Linked DNA regions of Macaca mulatta. The protein of the gene in region 2 purifies or fractionates together with the protein of the main gene of each other region. This does not show direct contact. Links are inferred from orthologs where the notes say so. Each region holds a gene or a part of one and is shown on either strand. Other genes may lie near its edges.

Region 1 (3,747 bases), on a different chromosome or scaffold from region 2:
TACCTTATACCCCCAAAGGTTACCTGTGGTAGCTGAATGCCCTCGAAAGACATGGGATGTTCAGAGAGCGTGGCCTGTGCAAACAGTGCTAGCAGAGCACAGCGGCTGTCAAAATCCAGGTGTTTCTCAATGGCTTCTTGTTGGCTCAGTGACAGAAGGATTTGAGTCCGGGTCCCTGTAACCCATATCCCAATTAGTAACTTCTCCCTAATCTCACCCTTCCTAGAAATCTTAGACCCTCTATTCTTTCAATCCAATCCTTTTGCCATCACACAATGGGAAAGAACTGATTTGCTTCAAAAGCTAAAATTTGACAACTTATATACATACACACACGCACATAAACACCATCTACAATAGTCTAAACTGTAAATTCTTCCTTTGCATAAAAAGCAACTAATTAATATGAGGTTATTGAAGATAGTCTTTCCTCTTTTGGCAGATAACCCCCACCCTCACTCCCATTCCCACCTCCTTTTCTTCCAACTCTAAGAGAAGGGCAACAGAATCATTTACGTACTGATGAGATCAGAGGCTCCTGCCACAGTGTCCTGTGAGTCCCTGAGCCGACCCAGCCCTTCTGCTTTCCCTTCCTCCCCACACTGCCCCTCACCAGCATCATGGGAGGACAGGGCTTGTATCATCCGGCCTGCGCTCCAGCGAATCTGATAATCGGGACTACTCAACATGTGCATGAGCAAGTCCAGGACTCTTGGGTCCTTGAATACCCCAGTGAGGGGCTCGATGCTGGCATAGGCGCTGAGCACGTGGACAGTGTGAAGTAGAGGAGCAGGAGGGATGGTGCCCACACACTCCTCCAGCTGCCGAAGGGCTCTCTGAATGAGGGACTTCACATCGGTTTCCATCTCCTCCAGCACAGATTTGTCCAGGGCCCCAACCTCCCCTGAAGACTCCTGGGAGGGCCCGATGACCTGGCCATCCTCGCCCAGCATCTTGTGGCAGTTGGCATAGATCTCATCCTTGGACATCCACAGCAGGATGTGCTCAGCCTTGCAGTCCACTTGGCCAGAGCCCCCGTCACCCTCATCGCCACGCCGCAGGATGAGCCAACGGATCTGGTACTCAGGATGCCCATCATGGCCCACTCGCTGGCGGATCAGCTCATCAGGATAGGCATGTAAGCCAGGCCCCAGGGGCACCCTGAATTCCCTGTAGCGGAGTTCCCCCACCATCCTGGCACCTGGAGCACACAAGGAAAAGAGAACAGACAAGCTAGAGTAAGGAGAGGTCAGAAAATCAAAGACATCCAGGAGGTGGGGAAGCAAATGGCAACAGCTGTCAGGCGGGGTGGGGTAAAGCCAGGCCCAGGAGTTGCATGCTGCATGCTGAGTCGGGGCAGGCCTAAGCAGAGAACACTGGGGTGTTTTGTTGTGAAATAACACAAAATTTGGGGGCTAAAAGGAAGGTCCCCAAGACCCTGAGGCCTGGAGTGGGTTGGTTTGGAACAGTGGGCAGACTAGTGGGGGCAGGCAGGGCAGCCTTGGAGTTACAAGTGAATCCCAAGGCCTTGAAACAGGCAGCTACCCTGGGGATATGTGAAGCCCAGAGGGGTATGTTTGGGAGGGAGATCCTGAGTGTGTGTGGAAAGGGGTGCTGTCTCTAAGGATTGGAGCATGGGAGTGTGAGACCCAAGTTAAGAGTCCCGAGATCGCAGAGTTAAGAGACCTGAGAACTGGTGGTGGAGTGGGAGGGCAAGGCGCGATGGACTGGGAGGAGGCACTGGTGGGTTGGAGGCGCCTCTGACTGGAGCGACTGGAGCAACTGGAACAAAAGGGCTGGTGGGGGCGCCGCGAGACCCAGGGCAGGGTGCACAGACAAGGTAGGTGAGGGGCGCGAGGCTTGGGGGACCGAGGTTGGAGACCCGAGAAGCCAGGGGCGCGCGGTAAAGTGGGGGAGGGGGGATTAGGCCCCATAAACTAGAACCCCGAGGCCCAGTAGGATGGGGAACCGAGGTTGGGTGAGCGCAAGGCTCGATGGGCAAGTGGGCAGGAGAGGAGCAAGGGGCCGCGGCGGGGCTCTGGCCACCTCAGAAGTCCACCGGGGTCCTGGCGCGAGGCCTGTCCTTCACAGAGCAAGGGACGCGGCACAGATGCTGGCGGCGACTCGGGCCCCACCTGGGCCCCGCGAGGGGGTCGAGACGGAGAGACAGGAAGGGGCGTGCCTCTGCGGAACAGAGCGGTAGCCGCCTGGGTCGGCAGCCACTGGGGCAGGGTGGAGCCTGGTCCCTGCCAGCGTCTCCGCCAGCCAAAAGCCACGGCTCATTTCCGCCGGACCCAGCGGAAGGCTAGGGGCCCTGGGAAAGGGCCGGGGAGGAGCCGCGGATGCCACCTTGGCGACGCAGCACCTCCTCCTCTGCGCCGCCCTTTCCTCTTCCTTTTGTCCTCCCTCCTGCGGAAGTGCCCACCCTGTTTCCCAGTCACAACTGGAAAAGGCCTTGGACGTCATTTATTTCCACCCCCGGCTCCATTACCTGTAAGGGAATTGGGGTGGGGACAGACCCAGTGTCCTGTACTTTCTTTTCCTCCCACACTTTTTACTTCTTTTCCCCACGTTCAGTCTGTACCATCCCCTCCCGCAAAAAACCAGTAACAGATTACAGGAGGGGGAGGCATTTTATTAGAGTACAGGGATATCAGCTTTGGGCAGCAGCAGAAGGCAGCTTCACGTAACTCTTCATAGGGGGTAGTGGCCGAATCTTTCGGCCAGCCCAGCCTCCCTTGCGGTGCCATCGCCCACTGTTAGGCCTCTTGCCCAGCCAGCGGTTGCGACCTGCCTTGCCAATGACCCGTTTGTTATGATCAACGTTGGATACTCGGCCTACTGTTGCTATGCACGTTTCCAGCACCTGACAGAGAAAACAGATGGAGATTCTATACAATGTGGGGGAAAGCGCTTGACAGTGTTGACAGCAAAACCCTTGGGGGCTTCTTAGACTCAAGGAGAGGAGAGAGGAAAAAGGAAAAGCACAAGATGGTTGAAGCTAAGTGAAGGTCCTACAGTAGGAACTAGGTAGTTGAAAACAAAGAGCTGGGCGCAAGGACTCAGGCCGGTAATCCCAGCACTTTGGGAGGCCGGGGCTGGAGGATCACTTGAGCTCAGAAGTTCGAGACCAGCCTGGGCAACATAATGAGACCCCATCTCTACAAAAATAAAAAATATTAGCCAGGGCCAGGTGCAGTGGGTCACACCTGTAATTCCAGCACTTCGGAAGCCTAGGCAGGCAGATCGCTTGAGCTCAGGAGTTTGAGACCAGCCTGGCCAACATGGTGATACCTTGCCTCTACAAAAATACGAAAATTAGCCTGGTATAGTGGCGTGCGCCTGTAGTCCCAGCTACTTGGGGGGCTGAGGCAGAATTGCTTGAACCCAGGAGTTTGAGGCTGCAGTGAGCTGACTGTGCCACTGCACTCAAGCAATAGAGACCCTGTCTCAAAAAAAATTAGGGTCGGGCACAGTGGCTCACTCCTGTAATCTCAGCACTTTGGGAGGCCAAGGCAGGCGGATTACGAGGTAAGGAGTTCGAGACCAGCCTGGCCAACGTGGTGAAACCCCATCTCTACTAAAACACAAAAATTAGCCAGCTGTGGTGGTGCATGCCTGCAATCCCAGCTACTCAGGAGGCTGAGGCAGGAGAACTGCTTGAACCTGGGAGGTGGAGGTTGCAGTAAGCCAAGATCGTGCCACTGCACTCCAGCCTGGGCGACAGAGCAAGACTCTGTCTCGAAA
Region 2 (3,747 bases):
ACTGTCCAACTGACCAACTTTGAGATCTCTTGTCAAGAGCTCCATAATAATAACCTATTACTTGCTCTGAAAATGCATTTATTAACTCAGAGTAATTATGAGTCACTAGGAAAAAGATAATCTTACATAAAAAGTTAGGCAATTAGGCCAGGCGTGGTGGCTCACGCCTATAATCCCAGCACTTTGGGAGGCCGAGGCAGGTGGATCACGAGGTCAGGAGATCGAGACCATCCTGGCTAACATGGTGAAACCCCGTCTCTACCAAAAATACAAAAAATTAGCCGGGCGTGGTGGCGGGCGCCTGTAGTCCCAGCTACTTGGGAGGCTGAGGCAGGAGAATGGCATGAACCCAGGAAGCAGAGCTTACAGTGAGCCGAGACCGCGCCGCTGTACTCCAGCCTGGGTGGCAGAGCAAGACTCCGTGTCAAAAAAAAAAGTTAAGCAATTAATTCCAAAGGACTTGAGTTCTGGCAAAAAAAAAAAAAAAGGAATTTAAAATTAAAAGTCCAACAATTTCTTACCATCTTCAAATTCTTTTTTTAAAAAAGAAAACATACATAAAAGAAAAACAACAACAAAAAGAGTAGCAATACCTGGTACAGATTAATTCAAGGCCTCTTAAAATTCACATACAACTTTTAAAAGGCCCATGCTTCTCAAGTATTCATAATCCAATGATGTCACTATTAACTTATGGTACCTCTGAAGTTTTCTAGGTGTGTTGTATTAAAAATCGCATATATTTTCACAAAAGTGTATCATTTGGCATTTAAAACATGCATCACACCCATTTTATGTTCAAAGACTTATGACCCATTACATCGGTTAAAATATTCATTCAGCTTCTCTGAGACAATTGTCCGCAACCCCAAAGCAAACAGGTTCTTAGGCAAAGGAAGCAAAAAAGTAAAGCGTGTTTTAAAACCAGCCACTGAAATATCCTACTCTCACTCATCCATGGTTGGAGAGAATCAGATTTCACTTTGCAATTCACAAACATGTCTGCTTCTCCATGTTGCTTAGCGCTTGCCAATAATGCCGTTGTCCCTGCTCAATGAAGAAGGACCCAGAGTAGAGGACCCTTCCTGTGACAAGACAACAATAAAAGGTATCTCCAAAAGAAAATATTTTAACGTGAGTCCAATTTTTAATTATAAAACATTTAAACATGTAATTTTTATATCAGATAGTACTGAAATGAACAGTGCAGAATCACAAGTCTAACAATGCAGTTGATAAAATTACTCTAAAAGCAAGACGACCGTTTCATATTTCTTTCAAATAACTCAAGTGCTTAGTCATAGTCAAATTCGTGGATTGGGTTACTCTTAAGGGAGTTGAGATCTTACTAAATAGCAGGTAGGTAATCGGTTAAATCTGTAATTCGATGCACTTGGTAATACTAAACTAAAAGATAAGTTTTAGTGTTACAGTAGAATAAAGTGCAAAATTTTTAAGTAATAATGGATGAAATTTTGATTTGAAATGTTTTCAAAACAATTCCATTCTAAAGAAAGAGGCCTAAAGGCTCCTGCACTTGTAAATAATTCTCCATGGCCAGCATAAAGTGGGTTCTATCACATCATAAAGGGAAAAAAACCCCTGCGTTTTAAGTGACCCGAAATTCTGCCACTGCTTTTTAGACTGCACAGTGGAGGAGACTATTGTTCTATGACACAGATACATTCTATTGTGACGCTCTAATGGAAAAATGCATGTTCCTAAAACCCAAACGTGAAGTTCCCACTAAAAGTGAACCAAAGCAGCTGGACATCCTATTTCTTTAAAAGCCAGACACTTCGAGTTAAGTTATACACAGCTCTTACAAGTCACACCACTCTGAAGATGGTATCTGCTATCACAATAGTTATTTCAACGACTCCAAGTCATAGCAAAACAACGCGAAGAAATATTTACAAGGAACAGGCGGCTATGTGCAGAAACTCGGCGCCCGCACACAGTTAGCCAGGACCGACGGGTAGCTAGTGACGCCAGACACGGGGGAGAAAGGATGGCAGCCAAGAACCGGGCGGCCTCAGACCACCACCGCAGCTCTCCCTCCCGACCACAACAAAAGCCAGACACCGACACACGCCCATGCTCACGACAGCCAAGGGACCCCCATTCACAACCCCGCCGCCACCCCCGCCCTAGTCCCCGGGACAGCAGGCTTAAGGCCAAGAGAGGCCCCCGGCCATAGCCTGGGCCTTGCAGCCGAGCCTGCGCCGGCTGACGCTCGGCCGGTGCAGAGAAAGCCCAGCCCGGGGTTCGGCTCACACTTATGGAGCGCTGTGAGGACGCGCGGCCAGAGCAGGCCTCGCTGAATCGGGGGCGGAGAGGGTGGACGAGACCTGATGGTGTCTCCCGAAGAACGGGGTCGACAACACGATCCACCGGGCCCGAAAGAAGGCCAGGCCCAGTCACCGCCCGCCGCGGGCAGGCCCAAACCGCAGCAGTGAGGCCAGCCTGCATGCAATCCGGGAGCCACGACCCTTTCCAGCTCAGTGGGCGGCTACTCACGGTGTTCGGTGTTAAGGAGACTGCCGGCGGGAGGCTGACGAGAGCTAGGAGACGTCAGCGGAGGAACAGAAAAGCGGAGGACGAAGCCACTACAGCCTCTCGGCGCGGCGCGGCGTCTGCTTTATAGGAGAGGGCGCAGGCGCCGAGGACCCCGGGGCGCGCGGCGTCACACAGCGGCTGGGCTGGCCGCCGAGATCGCCTGACGGCAGGCCGAAGACGGCGGGGCGGGCCCAGGCCGGGAGGCGACGAGGAGCTGCCGGGGCGGCTGGCCGGGGGGTTGGGGAACGGGAGAGCTTTCGCCTTTCCCTAGCTCTGAAAGCGCCGCGCTCTCTCATCAACTGGGTGCCGAACCCTGACTGGCCTAGAAAGGTCTTTCAGGCAGGGGCGCCCTAAGCCGAGTAAAATACCCCAGCTAAACGGCCTGGAAAAAACAAAACGGGGCGTGTGTGCGCCTATGTGTGTGTTCCTGGGAACAACAGAACGGGGCGCGCGCGCGTGTGTGTGTGTGTTCATTCCTGGGAGGGGCTGCGTGTGTGTGTACGCGCGTGTGTTCATTCCTGAGGTGTATGTGTGTGCGCGCGCGGGTGTGTGTGTGTTCATTCCTGGGGTGGGGATGGGGGGGCGCTTGTGTGTGTGTGTTTTACTACTGAACTGATACAGCTTGTCCAGCCTCCATTCTCCACAGTAACCCTCCGAGGTGAAATAGTGTTAGCCTTTTCGCCTCTGCAGTGAGGGAACAGGTTCGGAACGGTTAAGTGGCAGAGCCAGGATTTGAACATTACTCCACAGTTAGGTGCCGTTAGCCCTTATTTCCTACTATTGACTTCTAAAGAGGCTTCCGTGCCAAAAATAGCCATCGTCGTAGGGAAACCCCAAATCTAGAGAGATGGCTTCCATCTAGCAATAGGTACCCATTCCTTCACTAAACATGCTCTGAGCCCGACATGCGAGGCGTGGTGCTGGGGATTCGGCAGTGAACCAGGCAGCCAGGGCCCGGCCTGGACAGAACTCTTGTCTGGGGTGCTCCCAGGAAGGCTGTGATGAGGTCGATGGAATGAAGCCTGCAGTAAAGGAACGGGAGTAGTCTGAAAGCCCCACCCCGCTCTGCTCGGGAACGTTATTCTCCCTGTCCTAGGAGACTGGGCGCCGGGCTCGTCTAGCCAATAGGCACGTGATGGTATCCCTGACACAGGAAGACAAAAGATACTTCCACACAGGGCCCCCTGA

Evidence for each region.
Region 1: the proteins of SKP1 (region 2) and CUL7 purify together in Homo sapiens (affinity purification with mass spectrometry; 8 studies listed by BioGRID and IntAct, with this or other methods). This does not show direct contact. The link is inferred for Macaca mulatta from reciprocal best matches to the Homo sapiens genes SKP1 and CUL7.

Annotation. Positions count from the first base shown.
Region 1 is NC_133409.1:139,074,375-139,078,121, reverse strand, and holds the start of CUL7 (cullin-7), read right to left. Parts: upstream 2,435-3,747; 5' UTR 2,284-2,434; coding exon 2,136-2,283; exon of another isoform or gene 2,047-2,135; intron 1,783-2,046; exon of another isoform or gene 1,687-1,782; intron 1,202-1,686; coding exon 521-1,201; intron 176-520; coding exon 24-175; intron 1-23. Other genes in the region: MRPL2 (large ribosomal subunit protein uL2m), read right to left, coding at 2,654-2,866. UniProt on the Homo sapiens protein: Core component of the 3M and Cul7-RING(FBXW8) complexes, which mediate the ubiquitination and subsequent proteasomal degradation of target proteins. Core component of the 3M complex, a complex required to regulate microtubule dynamics and genome integrity.
Region 2 is NC_133411.1:143,076,303-143,080,049, forward strand, and holds the start of SKP1 (S-phase kinase-associated protein 1), read right to left. Parts: upstream 2,621-3,747; 5' UTR 2,521-2,620; exon of another isoform or gene 2,352-2,520; intron 1-2,351. UniProt on the Homo sapiens protein: Essential component of the SCF (SKP1-CUL1-F-box protein) ubiquitin ligase complex, which mediates the ubiquitination of proteins involved in cell cycle progression, signal transduction and transcription.